2 linked regions of the Rhinolophus ferrumequinum genome follow. The main gene of each other region encodes a partner of the protein of the gene in region 2 in a complex. Links are inferred from orthologs where the notes say so. Each region holds a gene or a part of one and is shown on either strand. Other genes may lie near its edges.

Region 1 (13,223 bases), on a different chromosome or scaffold from region 2:
TTTCCCCTCTATATCCACACTCTTGGCTTTAGTTCATCTTTTTAGTTCTTCTTGGTGTCTATACCCAAAGAGATGAGCATTACTGAAGGGGGCAAAAGAGTCACAGAGACAGGAACACTGATGGCACTGTAGTTATTATCAACAGCCTCCCCTGAACACAATGCCACCCCATGTTCCTACGAGTATATTTCTCTAGTAAGCCCACTGGCCCACGCTCCAGCTAGCACCCCAACACTACCTCATACCTATTAACTCACTTGTCTCTCTTGTCTTCCACCTTTTCCAGTTAATGGCATAGCCTTCTATTTTCATGATAAATGACCCTCAGCAGCCTGTCACAATCTACAGTCCTACCTGTATGTGTATCCTTTTGCCTTCCCTATTGGCTCTCAAAGGGCAATCCATTGATCCCAGCCCTTCCTACCTCAGACGTTAGGTACTAGAAAAGGTCAGGGTACTGGTTTAGGATAGCAAAGCCAGAAGAAAAACAAAACAAAACAGGTAGCCCAAGGCTCCACAAAACTCTGAAAACCGACTGATATTGGTGCTATAAGAGAGGAATGTACCTAACCTGAAGACCAGCCTGAAAAGAGGTCAGGGACTGACATCTGAGCGACAGACAATATGGATTATGAAGGTGGCTATGAATATGCAGAGGAAACAATAAAAGTAAAATGTGTGGAGACATAGGGTGGAAAGTTATGGGGAGACAGGTTAACTGAGAAGCAGCTCCCACGCAATCACACAATTCAGGATGTATCAGGACTTTTGTATCAAATTTCATTTTAATCAAGGGTTGCTAAGGTAAAAATGAAGTTCTTAAGTGACTATCCTATTCCACCTGTAGGCAGAGACTTTGTTCCCTTGATCATCAATTATTTATCACTGAGCTCATACTAGCATACTAGATGCTCATACTAGTTACAACCAAGATAAAATATAGTTTTGGTTATCAAGAAGGTTACAGTCTTGGGGGGGAGAAAGTCAATACAAAACAGCATGATAGATGCTATATTGGAAACATTTACATGTTGAGACACTCTCCACCTCAAGCTCTAGACATTAGGCTTTATTCAATTCTTGAACACATTCCGCTTCTCTCTACTCCAGACCTTCTTCCTACAAACTGGTTCCTCGGCTTGCAATGCTGCTCCCACCCCCACTGTATTATCTGCTGGCTCCCACCAGACCTTTAAGTAACTTCCTCAGGAAGGTGTTCCTGACACCTTCCCTTGTCCACCCTCAGAGGAGTGCCTAGAGATTCCCATCTGGACAGATAAAAATCCCTGAGGAATTCTGGGAGGGGAGGGGAGACCAGGAATGCTCTAGAAGTTATTACAATGCTCAGTTAGGTTTGGAAGCCACTGCCCTAGATACTAGCTTGAGTTTCCTTACTATAATCCCTCATAAGACTGTCTCTTAGCAGTTACACAGTTCATCTCACTTGTAATTACTTAACACGTCTTTCCTGCTCAACAACCTACTACACTGCAGTCTCCTGCACGTAGTAAGCACTCAAATATTAGTTGAATTGAATTTTACTATATTCCCTCAACAAATCTCTTTTCAAGCATCTGATTAAAGGCAGTGGTTTTCCAACTTATTTGACAATAAGAGAAAATCCTTTGTTCAAAGAAAAAGTGAGCACCTCAATATGTAAAACAAGTAATAGCTGTTTTGGTTGAAGAAGCGAACATGGAAGGGCTTTCAGGCTATTTCCACCTATTCTAGCTGAGGGGCCCATGGAATAAGAAAGCATATAAAAATATCATTCTTTTAAATTAATGTATTATTAGATATAAGTAAAATCATGAAAGCTATTAGGAAGTTAATTAGTTTGGCTGCTATCAGCAATCAAAGATGCCAAGGAGATTGTTTTTCCTTCCGTCCTCATTCCTAGCTGAATAATGACTAAGCCGAAGAGGTCAGATTTTGTCGTTCCATACCCTTATCACATTTTCTCTGCCTCTTCACTCAGCTCAGTTCAATAGAAGAGAAAAAATAAACACCCAATAGCACCTGGATATTATGAGAGATATAGGAAAGGGTCAGAAATGCTACAAGAAACAATTTAAAGGAACAATCATTGGTTCAACAACTAAAAATGTTGATTTTATTAGTTCATAGGTCACACAGGTCACACACATGTGAGAACTAAAGCCACATAACCAAACAGAAGGTGAGATTAGTCTAATGTCTTCATAATCTATTTTTTATTTTTCTGGAATAATATACATCACGAATGCCTTAGTGTAAACGAACATGGACTCTAGGATTAGAGCTGCAATAAAATGCTAGCTCTGATTCCTTAGGCCTAAATCCTTGAACTAGTCACTTAATCTTATTCTGCCTCAATGTTTATGTCTGTCAAATGGAAGTCAATAATTTCTTCACATTAATTCTCCTTTCCTTTTCAACTCTTCCTCTTCCCCTAGTCACAAGTTATTAGGGTCAGAAATGGATTGGGATATAAGGCCCTCTCAGTGATTCTCCCTGATTCAAAATCAGGCCTTGAGCATATGTAGTTGGCCATATGGCATGGCTTCCCTGGATCCCGAGGAGAAATACCACTGCTATGGGATAGTCAAGATTCAAAGTACTGACTGGCAACTAGAGCAAGATCATGGTCTGCCACTGCTGATGTGCCATCTCTTGCTACCACACGGCTAGAGAGAAAACGTTTTCCCCTGTCAGCTCCTCTCTTATCTCTTTGCAAGGTTATTTAATGGAATTCTCCTACCACAGTGAGATAAAACGTGCCAGGGAAGGGGGTGGGGAGCTCCTGCATGCCTGCTCTTGTTCTTCCTTTTCATGGAGGCCACGTGATCTCTCTGGGTCCAAGCTCTAGGTTCTATAGACCTAGGCATTAGCATTCTTCACATGTCCAGGCTACTAGCTCACTGGGCTCGTACACTGGGGTTTGGAGACAGAGCTCCAGCCACGGGGATCTTTCACACGTGACGGTCTCTCATGGATATATTTCTTTTGGAAAGCAAATATCTTGATATCATCAATCTCCAAAGCATGGGTAAAATGCAGGAGGCAGGTATATGGAGCACCTGAACCCAATGTCACGCTCCATTAGTAAAGGTACTTAAGCAAATGTTTAAAGACTAATGTTTCTGCCCATAAAGACCCATCCATTCAAAAAACATTCAGAGAATATCTGAGCAATGGAGATAGAAGAATGACCAAAACCTGCTTCTTGCCTTCAAAATACGCACAGTGAGAAAGACATGAGAACAATCACAATACAATGACCAAGTATATACAAATATAGGGACTACGTTAGCCTGCCTGCAGAAGTTGAACAAGACTGAGCCTTAAAGAAGCTTGAAGAGTTAATAGGAATTTCAGCTGCCTTAAAGGGAAGGCATTCAAAGCAGAGGTCCCAACAGGGACCAAGACATAAAGGTGAGAAGAGCTCCATCTGGGGGGTCACTCAGGCTCCCCAGTGGATGAAGAATGGACAGTTGGTGAAAATGCAAAGGAGCATAGGAGTGGTAGAAGGTGAGGCTGACGGGGAAGGCAAGGATCAAATCAAGAGCAGCCCAGTAGGCCAAGCTGAACGGTTTATTTACTTTGAACTTTATCCACAGCCATGAGGAAGCTACTGAAGACATCTCAATTTAAGGAGTGATTTAATCATGCTTTGTTTTGTTTTAATTGACCTGGTGACAATAGTGACTGATTATATCGGCGGTGCCAAAAAAATGTATACAAGTGGACACTTTGGTCAACGTTGCTCAAGCAGTAGTTCGCCATAATCAGAAGTGTCTGGAAGCAGATGGTAACCACTTTGAGCACCTCTTGTAATTGCAAAAGTCAAATGTGATTTGTATTCGTCTTTTGTTATCCGTATATATTATCCACATGTTAGCACAATGACCCTTAACCAGTTACCTGTATTGTCTTAATTGTCCCATCCATACTTCTAAGGCAACTCCACATGAGACAGAGAGAAAAAGGATTGTATCTCTTATCTTACAGTGTGCAGTGTTTTTAACTACTTCCTTTTACATATACATTACTCCCAAAATATCACAGGACTGAACAACAAAACAAAGTAAGGAAGCATTTTCACTATGCCTCCTAGCTTTTCAATAAGTCCCAAATCACATTTAATTCACCTTCTCCATGAACTCAAAATGATCCACACAAAAACAAAAAAAGATTTTTTAAAAATTCTGTTTTAGAACAGTAACACCACCTTTGAGGAACTGAAACCAAAAAGAGGAAGCAATTTATTACAGCTAGAAGCATGTTGACCAAAACTCAGCCTGCCTGCAGGTCATATACTTCAGAAACGTACAAAATTCTGGAGAATATTAAACGTTTATCACAATCTCAGGTATTATAACCTGTAAAATTCAGGAATGTCCTGACAATCTCCACTCTAAATTGTACTATTACATTTGCATTATCTCTGGATAGTGCATTTACATTTGCATTATCTCAGGTATCCTAAGGAACTTGGTACCAAGTGACCAAGAAGTCACCATACATTTTTACCCTCCTCCCCGTTTTATTTAAATCTACCACAATCTAAATAATTTAACCATTCTACCATCTAACCTTAAAGTTAAGTTTTTCCTTCTCTCTTTCGCTTTAATTTTTCCCCCTGGCATTCTTAAGAGATCGGCTAGAGGGGGAAAGTTGTGAACCCACTGAAATTGAATTGTATAAATGTTTTTTTAAATAGATCATAGCCTTTAGCAGATTCTTACAGGAATTTATGGCCCCCTCAAATTTTATGACCAATTCTACATACTTGTTCACTTAACATTTCTTAGCCTGACAGCACTCAAGTTAACAAACTCTGTTCAATCAATATCCTCAGGCTCTTCTGGAGTCTTTGCATATTCTTAAGTATTTAAAAAAATCAAAGATTCACAATGTGAACTCTTTCCATAAGGAAAGATTCCTACTGAGAAGCTGCTTTTTTGGAAGAAAAAAATAATAAGCAGCAAGAGTTGGTCAAACCATCTCTAATATTTTAGGATTATCATTTAGAACGAAACTGTGGAGTTTCTCCCTCCTGACAAATTTATCAAGGTACAGATAGAATAAATACCATTTATAGAACACAATGATTCATTTCAAGCCTGCCTTAATCTGAGAGCTGATTACTTTTCCTGCATCTTTATAATGCACTAGAAAAGAATTTGAGGCTAGGATTGTTTGGGCTGCTTCTGTGAATGAAACAGGGACATTAAATACAGGAAAAGAAGTTTCAATGACTAAATATATATATATATGTATATATATGTGTATATATATATACACATATATATACACACCCACACACACATACATACAAACACACACATATATATATATATTATGTATATAATATACAATATATACATAATATATATAATATATATATAATCAGATTAGTCAGTATGACAAAAAATCAGGTTAGCTCTAAAGTACACGACTCAACTAGTTTCCTTAGCTCTCTGGCTAACCGGTTTAGTACAGAACATTTCATTTATGTCTGTAATTCTATTAGCTCCAAATGCTGCAAATGGGATATTTAAGCAACTAAATCCTCAAATGCGGGTGAGTCAAGCAGCTAAGGAGTCCAGTGGCAGCTTCGGAGAAGGGATAACGACGGTGTTCAGGATGCAGTCCGGCCAGGGGCTGTTAACTATTACTCACGGACATCATCACCTTTGCACCTGTTCTTAGGGATGCGTTTATAACCCAGCTTACGCGACGCAGATGAGGGAAAGGAGAGTCCGGGTGCTGCGGAGCGCTGGCCAGTCCCCAGACTCAGCCGACTGTGCCCGCCCGGCCGCCGTGCCCTGCGGCCTGCACCAGCCCTGCAGGCGGCGGTCTCGCGTAGAGCGCGACACCGGGAATGGAGCCGCGAGTCGCGGCGGACGCGAGGGGACCGCAGCGCCGGGCCCCGGAGTCCAGGGTCACTCCAGTCCACTCCGACAGTGCTGCCCACCGCCTCCAGCCCTGCTCACCCGGACTCTTCAGGTTGTAGCGCGTCTCCATGGCTGGTCGCTGTCCCGGCTCCGGCCGCCCTACCCGCCGCCGTCTCCTCTCCACGCCGCTGGTGCCCCGGTCTCAGAGCGGTTCGGGGCGATTGCGCCAGGCAGAGGGAGCTTCCGCAGACGCCGCCCAGCCCTGGGCCGGACTGTGGACCAGGTGGTGAGGGTGCGGGCGAGGCGCGGGCTTCGCGATGGCGCCGCCTTTTCCGCTGTTCCCCCGCCTCCCTGAGGGCCTGGCAGGCGCCGGCGCCGGCCGGGGCGTCGCTGAAGGGGGCGGCGGGGCTCGAGGTCAGCCTTCTCTATTGGCCCCCGGCCCAACCCCGCCAGGCCGCCGGGCCTGCGTCACCGCCCTCGCCCAGGTTTTGTGAAGTTGGTCTGACGTGGCAGTCGCTTCGTGGCGGTGGGTCAGCGCAGCCTGCGGTCACTCTGCTGCCGCCGTGGCCCCACGAAGCCCGCTCGCCGATCTTCCGCCGGGCCCATCCGGGGTCCCCAGGCGCTCGCGGCTGTTACTGAGGAACGGCGTGGCTGGAAGCGGACCTGACCCTACCTGCTGCGGGTGTGGTCCCAGACCCCAGCCCTCGAGAGGTCAGGCGGTAGCCCGGGGCTCCCGCTGCAAAACTGTCCTGTAGCCCGGCTACCTGCGAGCTGCCCCTAGGTGTCTGCGAAATGCTTTTTTTAGATTCAGTAGTTTGGGGTGGAAACAGTTAAGTAGTGAAAGGAAATTCCGGTGATAAGGGAAATTGAGTCGGATTTTAATAACATTTTTTTTTTCAGATAATGTATTTAGGTGCCAGACACGTTTAAGTATTGTAAGGAATTTAAAAAATTTTGAAACTTGTCAAAAAATGAAACTAAGAAATTACATTGAATTGGGGGAAAAGCATACAAATATGAAAGGTTGAATCTCAAAGGACACACTTCATGGTTCATTGTGGAAAGAGTGGGATCGTGGAAAAGGGGTCTATGGGTTCTGAAGTTTTAAAAGAGGAACAAGGATTTAGGAAAAGGAGAGAGGAATTGGAATGGTGGGGAGATTGAAGAAGGAAGGAAAACTAGGCGGGATGAAGACAGTTAATCAGGTTGGTTGGGCACGTTTTATTTTGTTATATAAAGATAGACAACTTTGGTTTTGAAGGGTAGCAGAACATGCCACCCCCAAAATATGCCTCTTTGGCACAAGGATTATTTTGAGAAACAAGGCACAGGAGAGGAGAATCTTTGAAAACAGAAGTTACCCTTTTGTAAGGGAAATTTACATTTGTAAAGGAAGTATTTTTATATCTCCTTCTGTGTACTTGGAAGAGAAAGTTGACTCTATGAGGTGGGACAATTAAATTTAGCAACTCATCTTAGAAAAAGTGCCACATATGTCATTGCTGAATATCACTACGGTCAACTTTGAAGTACTCCCCTTGGGAAGCTATGCACTGATGCCAGTGCCTAGTCCACCCTTCAAAGCAATTTTGGAACTCTTTTCCTGGAATGGCCATCAGAGCTGTCGTCACATTACCCTTGATGTCCTGAATGTCATCAAAATGTCTTCCTTTCAGTATTTCCTTTATCTTCAGGTAAAGAAAGAAGTCATTGGGGGCCAGATCAGGTGAGCAGGGAGGGTGTTCCAATAGTGATTTGTTTACTAGCTAAAAACTCCCTCACAGATAGTGCTGTGTGAGCTGGTGCATTGTCGCGATGCCAGAGCCAAGAACTGTTGGCGAAAAGTTCAGATCGTTTTTCGTCTTAACTTTTTCACGTAGCCTTTTCAGCACTTCCAAATAGTAAACTTGGTTAACTATTTGTCCAGTTGATACAAATTCATAATGAATAATACTTCTGATATCAAAAAAGGTTAGCAACATGGTTTTGACTCTTGGTTTGGACTGACAGAACTATTTTGGTCATCTATCATTGGCTGACTTCCATTGGCTGACTTTGATGCTTTGTTTCAGGGTCGTATTGGCAGTACACCCATTTTTCATCACCAGTGATAACACAGCCCAAAACATTGTCCTGCCTCTCCAAAAGGTCTTGGCAAACTTCGACTCTCCTTTGCTTTTTGTTCATCATTTGGAACCATTTTTACACACACATTTCTCATGCCAACATTTTCAGTTAAGATTTTTCTGTTTATCGATTCTTACTTGGTCTGCTAAGCTTCTCTCAGTCAGCCGAGGATTTTGACGCACAATTTGACAACTGTTTTTGTCAATTCTGCTCATTACTGGCCGCCCTGACCTCTCTTCATCAGTGACACATTCTCTTCCCTCAGAATAACATTTAATCCATTTGTAATCCATTTGTGCACTGCCGTTTTCTTCATGGCGTTATTCCATTAACTTGGACTAACACCCCTGATTTCACTTCCACTCTTGCCAAATTTAACAAGAAATTTAATGTTTGTTCATTGCTCTATTTCCAACTCAGACATTCTTGTGACAGCACACAAAAACACGCAACAATAGTAACGAACACCACTCAGCAAGACACCACCACACGTCGATATGAACACAGCTGTGAGACACTGATATACCAAGGTTATGAAATCTTACCAGGCTGTTTGTACAGTGCTGCCAATGTAAGTGCACAGTGGCAAGTTCGTATGGGGTCTCTCAGGTATGTGGGGTTCCCCTACCATGTATGTATTAAATTTAGTTATTTTCTCTTGCTAATCGATTTGATTATTAGACCAGCCAAAAGAACCTTGAAAGTAGAGGAAAATTTCTTTCTCCTCCACACATACATCAACTCACTTATTCTTCACAACAGCCTTGTCAGCAGCACAGATTATTGTTAACGAAAGTTCCCAAAGAAATTAAAAGAGAGTTTTACTCATATATGAATTGTATATCAGAGAACATGTGAACCAAAGACACATTGGGGCAGAGGAAAACAGGGTTTTGAAAAAAAGGGTTGCTAGGGAAACAAGGTTATAAACTTAAACATCATTCATTTTCTGATTGGTGGGGGCAACTGAACTTTTAATGATAAGAACAATGGGTAACGTGATTAAGCATTTATCAAAGTCCTAGTTCAGGCTTACAGGACAAAGACTTTGGGTCAATAGGTCCAGGACAGGGGGTGTTGCTTAGGAACCGCACAGGGGGTACCATTTTTCAAACAACACAATCACTACATGGGAGCTTCTTGCTCTACAGGTGGTTTCGGAGCCCCAAAAGGGCAAAGTTATGCTGAAGCAGGGCCCTGTTGGGACCCCAGTAGTAGAGGCCTGTCCACGTCCCTGGCCTCACCTTCCTTCACCTACCTATAGCTTAACAATAAATCATCTCTTTGCGGCTTGAGCTCAGAATGTCCCGTCCCACCCAGTTCCCCGTTTTAGAAAATTACCCTGAAACTTATGATTAATATCCTTAGGCTTATTGCTCACAGTCTCAATGGTCTAGCATCATTCTTTCCAGACATCATCCTTTCTGGGTTGCTGACACCACTGCAGAATCGAGCATCACGTTGCCAGAGGGAAGGCTCCATGCAGACCCCATCCCAACCCTCACATAGCCTTTAGACGAACGCCCCGATTTTCCCTTAAATACCCAAGTCAGTCTGAGAATGTTAAGGCAATTTTTGAAGGTGTTAACCTGCTGCCTTCCCAGACCACCGGTGCTCTGAAAATAAACGCTTATTCTATGGCCCAACTCCTGTGTCGGTCTATTGCCTGAGCAGCGAAGGCAGCATAAAACCCCGGACTCGGTTGCCCTCCGGTTTCAATGCCTTCTAAGCAACTTCAGAATTCAAGCTGCAAATCTCCAAATTTGGGGCCATAAGTTATGATATTAAAGGTCTTATAAGTCCTCATTATTTATATCCTCTTTACAGATGAAGACAATTGAGGTCTCAGAAAAAACAATTTACTTAAATACTCAGTTTACAATTACATTAAAAGTTCTTATCTTTTTTGGTATATCATTTTTATCATACTGATAAAAGGAAATTTTTCTAGGTCCTCATTTATGTCTTGATTTGAATACTTTGAAATTCATTTTACAGAGGTTCTGAAGAATATCATTGACATATTCAAGGCTACTCATCTAAAAGTAGAAAAACACTGATTCAGATCTGGATCTTCCAACTCTGAAACCTAGATTGTTTTCACCGTGCTAACGCAGAATCAGGCTGTGTCATACAAGGCCTTTCCCCCCACCATTTGAAAGCAGGGATATGCTTCTTAGAATCAGAGCTATTCTTGGACCACACACTTTAAGATATTTATTCTTTAGCATTTAAAAAAATGGCCATGATGAACATTGTAGTGTATTTACCTTGCTTGAGCCTTTATTTATAAAGTACAGGTATATGAATAGAGTTGAAATTCCATTGTATGTACTTTTTTATACTAAAAATATCTGCCATCAGCTAACTAGTGTAAAACAATAAAGAGGTCTAAGCTAAAGGAAAAACAAAGAAATGCAGTTTTAATAAAGGCTCAGGTTACATGTACTGTTCTCAATCTGGCCCTCTTTATGTAAATAAAGGATTCTGGGTAGGTTAACTGGGATTGGTTGAGTTTAACATGCAAACAAAGAATGCTGGTTGGCAAAGCGGTTAGCTTCTTTCAAAGTAAAGAATGTAAATGATCAGTTTGTCATGGTGAGAAAGAAGTCCATGGCTGAGAAGCTCAAAAGGTTATGGAGAACCGTGTAAGGCAAACTTCTTCATGGTCTCCCAGCTCCATGCTAATTCCCCTAACATAAATGAGTCCACTTTGGCAATCTCTGTACACCTTGGATTGCTTGTTTTGCAAGTAGCAGTGCTATTACCAGATAGATAGCATAAACTGACTAATTTTACATCAATGTCTTCCTAAAGTATGATTTAAAATGAAAAAGAGCTTGAAAAGACATAGGTGGTCTCTAGTGTAAACATTTTATTAATTCCTTTGAATATTTTATAATAGTTTATTATTATTATTATCATTATTTAAAAAAAGAACATCTGCCATAGTTTTTCCTATTGTTTTCCCCCAGAATTTCCCCCTTTGGAGTAGTTAAGAAAAATGGGACTAATTTTCCCGTAGGAATGTAGCTGATATTAATGTTAGATGTTGTTCATTATCAGCAACACAAGTTCCAACTCTGGTTATTTTAACAAAAAAGTCAGAAAGGAGTTGTTTTGTGCCCCACCTCACTGCACTGCAGCTCTAATGCTATGCTTGTGCCTACCACCTGGTGGCTGGCTGAGGGATCCAGTAGAGAAACTGATTTCATTTTTTCCTTCTCAGTTTCTATTTTCAAGATATGTCTTCCTGCTCATTCTATTTTAACACTTTTCTAATACTGTATTCCAGAAGAAAATATTATGGAGAGATATCAAATGAGTATATTTGAAACCCAGTGGAGTGCTTACAATCCTAGTTTTAGTAGTAGGTAGGTGTCTTTTACCAGATGACTTGTACATCATTTTAAAAGCTTTTTCCCATTAATAAGCAAAGAAGCATTTTATAAATGCAGTTGTAAATAGCTGTTTGCAATATTATTAAAATCATTTTTACTGTGGCTTTCTTAAAAATTACACCTTTTCTTGGAGATCCAAGCTGCTACCATAGCTTTGAATTATCTGACATCTCCCCCAAACTCGCAGCTCCTGCTATTAGGGATGAGGAAAAAGAAACCTACTTTGATATTGTGTTTTTGCTGTATTTGTATGAATTACTTTTTTTTTTTTTTTGTAATAAAGGTGATTTAAAATTAGCCACAAAAATTACAATACTCATATATTCCTTACTGTTTTTTTTAAAAATTAGTTTCAGGTGTACAAAACAATGTAATAGTTAGACATTTACACCCCTCACAAAGTGACAATCCCCCACTCATATTCCTTACTCTTTAGTTCTGATGAACTGATGAGTTTAACAAGAGGTATTTCTATTTCTAAATTTAGCTCTAAAGGAAACACCTGCAACTAAGATGAAACTGCTGTTCATGGGTGAAAGAATAGGTATTTCATGATGTGCCATCAGCTAGCGCTGACACAGCTCTGTCTTCTCCTTCCCTCCTGCTGAGTCCCGGTGCCTTAAGAGCTCTTCAGGGCACTGTCCTGCCACTCTGTGCCTTTTTTCTTGTGTCCCCATATCCTGTCACTTCAATTTGTCATTCTCTGGACCCCTTTTGGCCACTTTGCTGACTGATCAAAGTTAGTCACCTACAAACTAGCCTAAATAGCTTAGAATTTCCTTACCCTCAAAGTAGCTTCAGTTTGTATTCATTGCAAAGGAAAGTGCAAAAGGACAAAAAATTACTATGAGTTCAATACTTTTAAACAAATTTGTATTTTATTTACCACTAGAGCATCCACAAAGTTCCAAAAAAAATAATAGTTCATAGAGATGTGAAACATTCTTCAGTCTACAGATAATGCGCAGAGCACATGTGAATTATGGAACTTCCTGTAGTAATTCTGCAGCCACAGGGCATTTCGGCAATATTATTAACGTCTTTAGGACAAACAACACTATTCTGTTTCCCATTAAATCCACTTTACAATTATAGGCAAACTTTGAATGATAACCAACTCATCAACTTCTAAAAAGCAGTCCTGGACTTCCCTGCAATATATCCTTTTAGCACAAAATAACCAAAAAGTGCAGGTAATGCCACACTCCATCTGCCTTCCAGTATTTTGTGAGAAAACAGCTGAGCCAGTCTGACTTCCCCAGAAGTTGAAGTTGGGTTTAGGTCAGATGTTCTTAAATGGGAATATATGCCATACATTCCAGAATAGAGAGCAAACTTTTCCCAAATACATCATTCTTCAGAAAAGAGAGTTGTCTTATATTTTTGTCTTTACTTTCCTTTTTGAACAAAAAATACTTTTCAGGACAACAATATGTCTTGAAAGGACTTCAAGCAGTGGCAGTTTTTTTTTTTCTATCTTATAAGGGTCACTGAACAAAATCGGGGGGAAAAGTGAAGACATATTTATTAATTTTTCCTGAACGTATGACCTTGGAGAACAAGCATTGGAAATCACTATTAGTTGACTTTGTAAAAAGAAGAGTATAAGAAATACTTAATTCTGGAGACTGAACATGCAAGTGGGGGAAAAATCCTGTCGTAATGTTTAACAAATGGTTCTTGAGACTCAGTAAAATCTCCATAGACAGCATCCTACTCAATTTAAAACATATTCTATCTTAAATAACTAGAAACAAACTGTTAGATGATTCAAAATGTTGTCCCAATGATGCTAAAGACCCTGCTGTAGAAGATG
Region 2 (12,634 bases):
AACGTTCATTGCCCCTATTTGTACCTTCCCCCAGAGCCAGATGCCAACAGCTAGCCATAAGTAGTGGGAGTATTACAAGCTGCATCACTGGGGGGGGGGGGGGGGGGGAGGAGAGGGCAGGATGCATGCATGCATAGTTATTAAAACCCTTATTGCCTATTCAAGACGGGATAATGACAGGTACTACCAAATGGAGGCTCACAGCAGATCAGGAACTGACCCATATCCACAGATCTAGAGAATTAGTAAAGCCAGGCATGGAGCACGGACGTAGATAGCATCAACACCCAAATCACTCATTATCGTGACTCATACTTCATAGTCATTCTCTTGAAAATGTATACTGGAAAGGGGTCTACAATCATAATAATTGAAAAACACTCATAAACTTTATTTTAAACTTAATGAATGTAAGCCTATTCACTATATGCCATGAAAAAATACCAACATTCTAAAAATACAATGTCAAATGGTATATAACATGAATTATATTGATTACTATGCTTAAAATTTATTATTTTCTTAAGTACATAGTGGATTAAGCTAAGAAGAACTTACGTTGTGATGCTAACATTTGAGGAAGGAATTACTAAAACCCGACTTGGTGCAATAAGCACTGATGTATCACACGTCACAACTCGAAGCCCCAGCAGGAACTTCCCTGGGGTAGCTCCGCCTGCTCCCCAAATGCAAATTATCTAAAGAAAGAGGATAATTTAGAAATAACTTACTAGCTCAACTATGCCAATTTTAAAGGTAAGTTTTCCTGCCATATTATTCAGGTTTTAAACATTTCAAGTTGAAAGAATTTTACAGAATATTCAAAGGTTAATCGTTTAATGCATTTCTGCAAGTCTCTAACACCACCAAATGTCTACTGTAATATTTCTCTATGACCCATTATATTTTTTAGCAAGTTGTTTCTATGGAAAAATACATTTCAAGTTCCACAACCAATTTACAAGTATATTTTTGGACAAGACTGAAATATATTACAAAGAAATTATAACATATCTCAACTTGGAAAGTTTTTTTTTAACTTGAAAAGTATTGTTAATTAAAGAAAATTTGGAAAAAACTAGTAAAACAGACATCTGACAAATATTTGAAAAATAAATTTCTGTTAACTTTTTTATCTTGGGCTGATAATCTAAAATTAGATAATTAAATATTAATATTTGCTGAAGTCAGTAGCTTACCTCATAGAAACAAACTAATAATCTGTATATAAGAGCCACAACCATCATTTTTTGCAAGTCTTCCATTGATGTATCTTCATCTATTTCTTCTATTATATAATGCATAGCAAACTTAGAGATATCCCTACACAAAAGAATAGTTTGGGGTTATAAAGAATTAGTTATCAGAGCAGTTGCATTGATTTTTTTTTTCCATTAGTTAAGTCATAACTTTAATTGAAATTCTAAACTAATCTTTAGGTTTCCAACCATCTAATTTCACAAAACATTCACCAGCTTATGCTATCATAAGTAGCACTATCATAAGCAAGCACTGTTCTAGAGCCCTGGAGATAGATACAATGAGATATAATGGTGAGTGAATTCAACATGGTCTCTGCTTTTATGGAGATTATAACTAATCAGGGAAAGCAGAACAATAATAAAGTGGGATATGAAATAAGAGACTGGGGTATGTGACAGGAAACCATAGTGTACTACGCAAACACACACCAGGTACATTTAACTTGTGAAGTCTTCCCAAAAATGATATTTAAGCTTAGATTTAAAGGATGAAGAGAAGTTGGCCAGACTAGTTAAGGGAGAAGTTTCAGAGAGGGACTAACAAGAGAAAGCCTTGGAGGACTAACGAGAAAGAGGACGATGAAAGCTGTAAGCAGTTTGGTATGGCTCAAATATTAAATATGACAGGTGACCATGATTAAGAAATAGAGGCATCTGTTCAACCTCATGAAGACAAGACTATCCTGATAGCAATAAGAAACCACTGAAGGAATTTAAGGCAGGAGAGGAGCAGAGTCAATTTATGATCTCTAGTTTTATATCAGAGACTGGACTGAGATAAGACAGGAGACTGAAATACCAGTTAGAAGAGTTTTGCTATAATCCAGGCAAGAGATGACAGTAGTTGGACTAAGGAGAAACGATGATGAAAAATGATCTGACAGTGAAGAGGAAATGGTCTGGGTTGAAGGCTATACACCATTTTCAACAGAAAGAAATTGGTACTGGATTGGAAATGTAGGGGTAGGAAAAGGAGGACAGAAAAGGATCACAGGAACACTGGTTCCTGGCAAGGGCCCTGAAATTTGACTACAATGGTTTGTATCTTGACTCTCTATCTTGTATTTCACTTATTACCTTTGTAAATTCGTAAATTCTGGGCTTAATTTCTTGTAAATCCAAATTTCAATCTCTGTAAAATGGAGGTACTAACTTCTACAGCTCATAGTGATGAATCCATATAAAGAGGTGAGCTCAATGCCTAGCATGTAGAAAGTACTTAGCAAGTGACAATTGCTATTATGATTATTAATCTGAAAGGATTATTCAAATAAATGGGTCACTTTGCAGTTCATTTGGGACTTCCTTGATAATATAAGTAATCCCATTTGGAAATGCCATCTAGCTGATTATTAATAGTTCATCTACCAAAAGCTCTTTATTCCTAGCAAGAGGGAAGTGAATTCCTGGCTTAATAGTTGAAAAAAATCAAAATAGGTTTGGAGGCTCCTTTTACCTATTTTTAATAGGTGAGACTCCTACAGATTCTGCAGAATTTATTAAGATTTTTCTCTTTTGTAGTTATTTCTTAAAACCAACAAGAAAAAAAAATCTGATAAAGCTCCTATAAAGAAATCATGAGACTGGCCATCAATTATTCATATAGAAACTTGCAGGCATAAAGAGAACGAAACACAAGATATGTAGACAGTAGACATTAAAACCTCTCTGCAAATGGCCTTTACTTACTTTATTCCACTGAGATGCATAATGCTTAAGACAATGGTTGCTTTGATAAAAAAGAGGATAAAGAAATCCACCATCTCTGCCATAAATCTGTGGACCAAGGATGGAATAACATACTCTCTGCCTGTAAATTAAAAAAAAAAAAAAGGTTAGGAACACTAATCATTTCATATAGGCCTGAGAACCCAAGCTAAGTAAATTAATAGGGAATGTAAAGTCAAGGTACAAGGTGCTAATAAAAAAATTTATAATCTTGCAACAATCACTGGCATTGACTCTACCAACAGTACATGTTATTAAAATATACTACACTATTTACAAAGAGTTTAAAGTTGGCTTTCACCTTAATGTTTAAAAAACAATTTCAATGGTAAATTTAATTAAGGTACTCAATGCATTTCACTAGGGACTCAAATGAGAAACCAGGTGATCAAGAGCCTGTGACACAAAATTAAACGTTTTTTAGTAAAAATCAAGGTTAAGTATAGACAATCAGTACAAAGTATATGCCCATTACTCATTTTACCTCCTGTTTAGTTTCTCTTGCTTTCTATTTAATAAATCTGTCATCCTACATTCTGAATGGGATCAAATTCAGAAACAACTAATTCTTGTTCCCCACATCTGTGGCTGAATAAACAAAAATTCTAAATAATAAAAAGTAATGCAAAATATTCTAATTCCCATAGAGAAGTAAACAGACAACATACAAGGATAATTCAACCACGGTCCAGTCAAAAGTTCAAAACTCCATTTGTATTCATGTAAATATCCATCAGTTTCACTGTCCCTAATGTAATATATAATTATATTCTATGTTATCTATATTATATATCCTACAATATGTAGATAATATATAATAAATCCACGTCTGGATTATTTCCAGCATTACCAGTCAACCATCCTCCCCCCTACCCCACCATGTAGGTTTGCCATTTGGAAGCGTGGAAATCATGAGGATGGTTTGAAGGGCAGAGATTTCTTTACATGCAGAAATGATTACTCTGAGGAGAACGGGAATCAATTCGGAATGCCAGGTCTAAAGGAAGAAGAAACTGCATAGCCTTTCTGTATACACTTGAGAATTTAAGGCCTGGGCAAACCATAGCTGAAGCACACGGAGACACACCAGTCCGAACAGCGGCAGCGGCAGCAGCCACACGCGTAAAAAAGCGTGCCTGTTCTACCCGATCCAGGTAGTTGTTCCCCGAAGACCCTTCTGCTCCGCCCCACCTCCCGATCCCGCTTCTCACCTGCCTGGCGCCCGTTCTCGCTTGGGGTTCGCGAAGGGGCGGCGGATCCTACCCTCGTCACTGGGGTTGCCCGGACGGATCCCTGCACGTGAGGAGCCCGGGGTCCCAGGCCCGTGACTGGAGCAGGGGTGGAGATGCCTGGAGTCGCTCCTGGGTCAGGTCCCGCGGCCGCGGCGCTCAGGAAGTAAAAGGGGTTGTAATAGCCCAGCTGGAGGGGCGACGGCGCCGCCGTCTGGGGGGCGTTGGTGCCGCCGCCTGAGGGGTAGCTGAGCGGGGATGGCTGGGGGCCACAGTAAGCTGGGAAGGCGGCCAGGCCGCTGTGCCAGGTGAGGTAGCCGCAGTAAGACTGCCACAACCACTCGTGCACCTGCCGGGAGTACTCGCGGGCGCTCAGCCGCGCGGGTTTGTCCCGCGGCGCCGCGGCCTCCGGCGACTCGCAGCCCGCCGGCTCGGGCAGCCCTGCCCCGGAGCTGGATATCGCGTCCCCGCGCTTCACAGGCTCGCGCTGTGGCTCCGACTCCTCGGCGGCGGCCGTGGTGGAGGCGAGGCCCGCGGCTGGGGGCCGGTCCGGGGACTGTGGTTCGGCCTGCGGCTCGTCCCAGGGATGCGGGGCGGCGGCAGGAGGGCCTGTCAGAGAAGCGACGGGCTCTTGGTCCCCTCCACCGTCGCCCTGCCCGGGAGGGCGGCCTCGGGCCTCATCCGGCCCCTCTGCCATCGTCGTCTCAGCCCCACTCTGCTGTCTCGTCACTGCACCGTCTACCACCCTCACTGGCCCCTCCCCAACGGCCCCGTCGCCACCGCAGCAGCCACAGGCGTCAACAATCCACCACCGGAAGCGGAAGCCCCGCCTCGCGGGGCTAGGCGGAGCGGAGCGGGGCGTGGCGGGGGGGGGGTAAGTGAAGCGAGGGCGGGCAGGGGAGAAGTGGGACGTGAGGGGGCAGGCTGGGGGAAGGGGGCTGTGCGCCCGGGCATCGCCTGGGTGACTGCTCGCCAGTCTGCTCGAAGTCCTTGGATTGTAGATTGTTGGGCCCAGACCGTCACGGTCTACCCAGTCCTCACCTGGTTTTAATGCAGTTTAAGGCCGGAGGCTTCTCCAGATAATCCCAGGGATATGGACTCAGGCTGTACCAGGAGAAAGGCTAAAGGTGGAAGAGGATTTCCTAGAAAGGTTCCAGGAGTCAGCGCCACCTTTTCCATTACAGAGCCGCGATTGTTTTGCAATCTGGGCACAGGGCTTGTTGCTTATTTCCGACTGCGTTCATTATAATTAACTAGTCCTTGGCCATTTGTACTCAAGAAGGTGATACAAGACATATCCCCTTAAGAGGTTAAGAAAGTAACCAAACTAAACAGGGACATAAGAGAGTATGGTTCAGCTGCAGATTTTCATTGTAAGAGAGGAGGAGGGACTATGCTGATTTGCAAGCTAGACTGTCCTAATTTTAGAACTAAGACCTGTGTCCATAAAATCGTTCCACTGCTGTAGACACAAGCCTACTTCTCCAGCAAAACTGCCTTTCCTCAAACCCAGCGTCTCAACCTTTGGTGCCTTTTCCTTTATTTTGTGTTAAGGCAAGTCTCGTTCATCTCCCAGGGCTTTGGAGCCTTTTCTGTGTACCCAAGCCCAGGCATGATTTCCCCTTCTTCTGAACTACATATGGCTTCTTATAGATTTATATTTTAATATACTTTCCTATGTCTTTGATTAAGTGACAGGAATATGTATCCCCAGTACCATACAGAAGACCTACAGAGGCCAAGTATGTACCGTATGAATACTTGTTAATAAGGATGCAATAAGGTTGCATCTTTATTGACTTTGCTCTGGGAGATGTAAAACGTGTAACTTTAGCCCTTAAAAAAACTAATGATTTGGTTAAAGGGAAATACTTTGATGAAACACTTGAAGACCTATTTAAGCCAATAGGAGTATAATATAAATCCAAAATAAGGGAAAGGTCACAGTGGCCTATAGCTAGAAAGGTTACCCTTACAAATTTGGTTTTAAAATCAACTGGGAGGCAGGCCTGTTGGCTCAGTGGGTTAGAGCACAGTGCTCATAGCACCAAGGTCTCAGGTTCGATTCCCACATGGGCCAGTGAGCTGCACCCTCCACAACTAGATTGAAAAAAAAAAAAAAAAAAAAAAAAAAAAAAAAAAGACTTGACTTGGAGCTGATGGGTCCTGGAAAAACACACTGTTCCCCAATATTACCCAATTAAAAAATTATTTAAAAAATTTTAAAAATCAACTGGTAAAAAGTTGTAATGTTTAAACAAACAAGTATTCCAAGTTTGGGTGGCGGAGGCCGGAGAAGCAGGAAGAAAGAAATGAAGCTGGCGTGAATGAGTGTGAAATACTGTTCTTATTGGAGACATGGACTTTGTTTTGAATAACACTTGATTATATTGCATCTGGCACAGTGCCACCCACATAGTAGACATTTAGATTAATCAGTACTCTTGGTTGCAATTGTCAGAAATCTGATTGCAACTGATGTAAGGGAGATAAAAGTAAGTGAATTTATTGACTTGCATAACTAAAAAGTGCAGGACTAGTTTAGGTTTCAAGGATATCTGGTTACATATAATCAAATGATAGCTTCAGGGATCACTTCTCTTTCTCTGACCTTGCCTTAGAGAAAAGTAAGAGTATTTCCGTCTCAGTGATGAAACACTTAATTCTAACTGGCTTAAGCAAGAAAAAATTTTTTTGCCATATGTAACCAAGTTTAGAGGTTCTACCTTCTATAAGAAGGTTCAACAATAGGCATCTATAGGCATTTCAAAAGAGAGAAGAGAGACAAAGTTCAGAGAAATAATGGCCAATAATTTTCTAGACTTGAAGAAAGAGGACTCTTTAGATTGAAGAAGCACATCAAGTCTTGAGAAAATAACATACATCATGATGAATGTAAATAAAGAGAAAGAATTAATGATCTTAATAGGAGCCGTTAAAACATAACCTACCTACAAAGCAATGACATTTAGACTGGAAGCCAAATTTGCAAAAATAAAAATGTATGCTGAAGATATTGGAATATATGTAGTACTGTGGAGACACTATTAACCTAGAATGTTATAACCAAGTGAATCATCACTCAATGAGGATGTAGTATAATGCACCACTGCCAATCCAAATAACATACTGATTAACCCTAGCCTCTTCCCATCACACTCAGCTAAGGATTGAAATCTCCGGGATGTAAAGAGTATTCATGAGTCAAAAACATAAATGGATTCTGGAAAGATGGCAGTACATGAATTTTGAATCTCCATGAATCCCCACGTAACAACAGAGTAGCTAAAGAAACCAAAAATGCATGGAACAACATTTACAACAGTAGATGACAGATAACCTCACGAACCCCAAATACAAGAGGGTGGGGTCAAACCACAGATGCAAGACTTGTAGTGTCAGTGTTGAAAAAATCATATCAAAACTGGAAAGATATTAATAAAATGATATAAGACATGAAGCAGAAAATTCAGAATAAGAAAAACTCAGAAATGAAATCACAGAACTTGGGAAAGAATTAGAAATAAAAAATGATTTCAGAGAAGAATACTGAATGAGAAGAAACAGTAGTAAACAAACACAATAGGTAGAGCCCAAGGAGAACTAGAATTTGAAAATGAGATTTTCTTTAGTTAAAAAGAAATATAGAGAGACATAGAAATGACTTGAGACAAATGACAAATATTGAAAGTGGGCAAAGAAGATCCAATATATAGATAAAGAGTCTCTGATAAAACCAATCCCGCTAACAGAACAAATATAACACATTATAATTCAAGAGAACATTTCCCGAAATAGAAATATTCTATATATATATGTATATAGAGATATATAGATCTCTCTCTCTTTTTCTCTCTCATATATGTATTCCCATATGTATACATATATATACACATATTTATATATTTCATATGTATATTCATATATATAACCTCATATTGAAACCTCATATTGAAAGAGCATACTGTATATCTGAAAATATTGAAAATGAACAACAAATTGTATTCTAGTAAAATTACTAGACTTTGCATTTTGAAAAGCGGTCACTTAGACAAAAAAGAAAGTAATTTATGAGAGAAAGAAATTGGATTATCATAAGACTTAAGCATTAACACTTCATGCAAGAAGAAAATGGTGAAACATTTAAAATATTCAAAGAAAGAAAATGAGAACCAAAGACATTGTATACAGCAAAACTGACTTTCGAGTATACAAACATAAACATTAGTTATAAAATGAAAGAACTCAATGTTATTCACTCAAGTTTCTCCTGAGGAATCTACTAGAGAATGAAGCTTAGTGACCAAAATCACTGACAGACAATGACAGAAGGACAGTTAAATATTAAATATTTAATTACATTTGGAACAAAACTAAATGAAGGTTTGTTTCGGTCAGAGTCCCGTTAAGAGAGGAAAATTACACAGTAGTTTGAACAGAGAACATTTACTATAAAGACTTGTTAATGGAATTGGAGTAAAGGAGAGTTAGCTAGTAAGAGGCAAAGAGAAATCCTACCATATAGGAATAGTAGATATAGGGAGCAGCCACCACTCCTAGGGCTGAAATAGAGTGGACAAGAAAGAGCACTCCCACCTCCACCCGGCCCCTCATTGCTGGAAAGGGCATGACTGTGGCTCACTGGTGGCCAAAGAAGTTCACTGAGGTGTGACCTCAGTGGGGTTCATTAGAAATCCTCTCTGTGGAGTGCTGGGAGAAGATAGCCATAAGGAGGTGCCTTTATCTCAGAATTTACTGCAAAGTGCCCAGAGAAGCCGCTTGCAAGAAGGTGCTTTGCCAGTAGCACAATATGAAGCCATCCAAGAAACAACTGGGGGAAGCTGCCATGGGAAATTGCTGCTTGTTGCTGGCCACTGGGCACTGCTGAAAGGAGCCATGCAGTCTGCAGGAGCCCACGCAGAAAGAGAAGCCTCAGGCTGGACCCTTGGCTCAGGCGGTTAGAGCTCCATGCTCCTAATTCCAAAGGCTGCCAGTTCGATTCCCACATGGGCCAGTGGGCTTTCAACCACAAGGTTGCCGGTTCAACTCCTCGAGTCCTTCAAGGGATGGTGGGCTGTGCCCCCTGCAACTAGCAACAGCAACTGAACCTGGAGCTGACCTGCGCCCTCCACAACTAAGACTGAAAGGACAACTTGAAGCTGAATGGCACCCTCCACAACTAAGATTGAAAGGACAACAACTTGACTTGGAAAAAAGTCCTGGAAGTATACACTGTTCCCCAATAAAGTCCTGTTCCCCTTCCCCAATTAAAAAAAAAAAAGAGAGAGAGAGTAGCCTCCTTCTCCAGTGGTACCACCTTCTCCAGTGGTACCACCTTCCCCCACGCGAGCACCTTCTGTTAAGAAAGCCTAATGACAAACTGGCAGGGATGGGAGAAGTATTTACAGAGTTCTGCTTCATTATTGCAGAGTGAGCAAAGATTTGGAGCTGAGAGTCAATAAATTGACATCTAACACAGGATTGAAAGAGAACATACTCTGAAATGGATTTATATTCTGAAATATTGATACAAAATTACTATAAAACTAGAGGAGAGTATGGGGAGGACATCAGCATAAATTAAGTTTTTCAGTATATTCATGGTGGTAGTATTAGTATTATTTTGAGAACGTGTGTGTAATATGGGTAAAATGAGTAATTATCATTAGTTCTCTCTCTCTCTCTCTCTCTCTCTCTCAGTTTATATATATCAGATATATATATATATATATATATATATATATATATATATATATATATACATATATCTTATTTCCTGGGTCTTTTCAGTAGCAATAATCATCCTTAGCACCTGGACTGTGGTCTTGAAATACCAAGTCCCACTAAAAGAAACAAGGACTTCTTGGAGAAATGGGTGAATCTAGGTCTGGGACAGGAAATGTATAGAATGAGCATGAAATATTTTGTCATCCTAGAGAGCACAGGAACTATTAAAGACTTCTAGGGTCATTTCCAAAGGACCTAGGATACAACTTGAAGAGGCTCCCAGTGGCCAAAAATGAGACAATTTGAGTTTCAATAAGGATAATAATTAGAACGGACTGAAACCCATTAAATATGTTTAAATACACGAATTCATAATAATATGTAATCTTACCAAAGGGATCAAACCTGAGTCTGATCAATCTCTGGATCCAACTGCCAATTTAAAGGAGATAGAGGACAAAGAAGCATATTGAAATATACCATACGTGTGCAATCTGCCAAATGCTGACAGTGTGGAACCCTAGAAGTCAAACAGCTGAGTTCTTCAATAAATGAATTGTAAGAAAAAGAAAAAAAATTAAAAAGTAAGACTAAATCATAATGTCTGGGGATATACTTAAAAAATACAAAAAAGTGATAACTATCAAAGTCAGGATGGTGATTACTGTGTTAGGAGGGAGGGATTTGTGATTGTGATGGAGCACAGATAGGTTTCCGTTGTGGCTGACAAAATTCTGGTTCTTGATTGGGGAAATGATTAGAAGGACATTCACCTTAAACTGTTAAAGAAAGTGACAAAAATGGAGAGTTTTTTACTCACACACCTAGACTCTGAAGGATATACCTCAGTAAGAGGGAAATGGAACTCAGAAGGAAGGAGTGAGTTGCAAAAAGAAATGATTAAGAAAATGAGATCTGCAAGGATCTAATTCTTGAGTTAAATGAGTTTAAGAAAAATAGTCTAGAAAAGCATGGTGAACTGACCACATGTACTCATCACCTTTCCAAAATACCCATTGAAATGAAACAAAGGAATAAAGTTATAAACCTACAAGGTGGTTGTAGCTTTGCAAGATAGAAGGTCATTGACTTAAGGAGGAGAGGCTCAGAACTTGGAGGTATAGGGTACTTTGGAAAGTGGAAGTGAAGCACAATGCTGGCAGGAAGCAAATTAAGTAAAAATATGTTTGCTGAATAGTGACTCCTTGTCCCCCAATTTTTCCACAACTCTGTTCTTGAAATTCTATCAGCCAAACTTATGCCTCCTACACTAGATATTGGAGTATTCTTTTTTGGAGAAACCGAATGATCCCAGAGAAAACCTATATGTTGGATTTGGGGGTCCAAGAACAAAAAATGTGGTTTGCCAGCTTATCAATCTACCCTGAAAACTACCAGGCTATAAAAATCAGACTAAAGGCTCATGGAAAGAAGTTTTAATAGGAAAAGTGAAATCTAAGAGTATGTTTGAGATGTGGAAAAAAATATTGATGAGAATTTGATAATTAAAATAGTTGCACAGTTATACAGAAAACCAAAAAAGTTTTCAACAGAAAGGCAACCATTTAATACCAGGAAAATCAAGCCTTTCTGTGCTACCCAGAGTGGTCCATCCTGCGTTATTCTGAGTTCCCAACATAACTTAAAGAGAAACTTTCACAATATCTGGAGCCCTTGATGTCCTGCAAAAGAAGGAAGACGATGTCCTCAAATTTCTTCCAGCAGGAACCCACTTAGGTGGCACCAAACTTGACTTCCAAATGGAACAGAACTTCTACGGAAGGAAAAGCGATATTTGCATCATAAATCTGAAGAGAACCTGCGAGAAACTTCTTTTGGCAGCTTTTGCCATTGAAAACCTTACTGAGGTCAGTGTCATTTCCTCCAGGAATACTGACCAGAGGGCTGTGCTGAAGCTTGCTGCTGCCACTGGAGCCACTCCTATTGCCGGCCATTTCACTGAAAATTTCACTAATCAGATTGAAGTAGCTTTTTGGGGGCTGCGACTTCTGGTGGCTACTGATCCCAGGGCTGACCACCAGCCTCTCACAGAGGCGTCTCATGTTAACCTGCCTACCATTGCTCTGTGTAATAGACTCTCCTCTGTGCTATGTGGTCATTCCCATCCCTTGCAACAACGAGGAACTCACTCAGTGGGTCTGATGTGGTGGGTGCTGGCCCCAGAAGTTCTGTACATGTGTGGCATCATCTCCCGTGACCACCCATGGGGGATCATGCCTGATCTCTACTTCTACAGAGATCCTGAAGAGATTGAAAAGGAAGAGCAGGCTGCTGCTGAAAAATCTGTGACCAAGGAGGAACTTCCGGGTGAATGAACTGCTCCAGCTCATTCTGAGGTCGCACACTGGTCTGAGGTGTGCAGGTGCCCTCTGTGCCCATTCAGCATTTTCCCACTGAAGACCGAGTGCTCAGCCCGCCCCTGAAGACTGGTCTGCAGCCCCCACTGCTCAGGCCACTGAACGGTAGGAATAACCACCAAGTGGTCTTAAGCTGCTTTTGCACACACCCTTAAACAAAATGGAAATAAGTATGATGGAAATTAAACAGTTTTTTAAAATACTAGGAAAAAAGAAAAAAAAAATAGCCCAAATGAGTGGGATGGGAGCTGGGACTGGGAAGGTAGGGCAGTGGGGCTGACTTCAGGATTTGGGTTGTGTCTCAGCAATA

The links.
Region 1: FAM8A1 (region 2) and UBE2J1 share a complex: the UniProt entries of both Homo sapiens proteins name them as parts of the HRD1 complex. The link is inferred for Rhinolophus ferrumequinum from reciprocal best matches to the Homo sapiens genes FAM8A1 and UBE2J1.

What each region holds. Positions count from the first base shown.
Region 1 is NC_046286.1:46,023,130-46,036,352, forward strand, and holds the start of UBE2J1 (ubiquitin-conjugating enzyme E2 J1), read right to left. Parts: upstream 6,655-13,223; 5' UTR 6,010-6,654; coding exon 5,979-6,009; intron 1-5,978. UniProt on the Homo sapiens protein: Catalyzes the covalent attachment of ubiquitin to other proteins. Functions in the selective degradation of misfolded membrane proteins from the endoplasmic reticulum (ERAD) and is essential for cells to recover from ER stress.
Region 2 is NC_046292.1:77,364,191-77,376,824, forward strand, and holds the start of FAM8A1 (protein FAM8A1), read right to left. Parts: upstream 4,964-12,634; 5' UTR 4,917-4,963; coding exon 4,202-4,916; intron 3,073-4,201; coding exon 2,952-3,072; intron 1,324-2,951; coding exon 1,200-1,323; intron 699-1,199; coding exon 559-698; intron 1-558. UniProt on the Homo sapiens protein: Plays a role in the assembly of the HRD1 complex, a complex involved in the ubiquitin-proteasome-dependent process of ER-associated degradation (ERAD).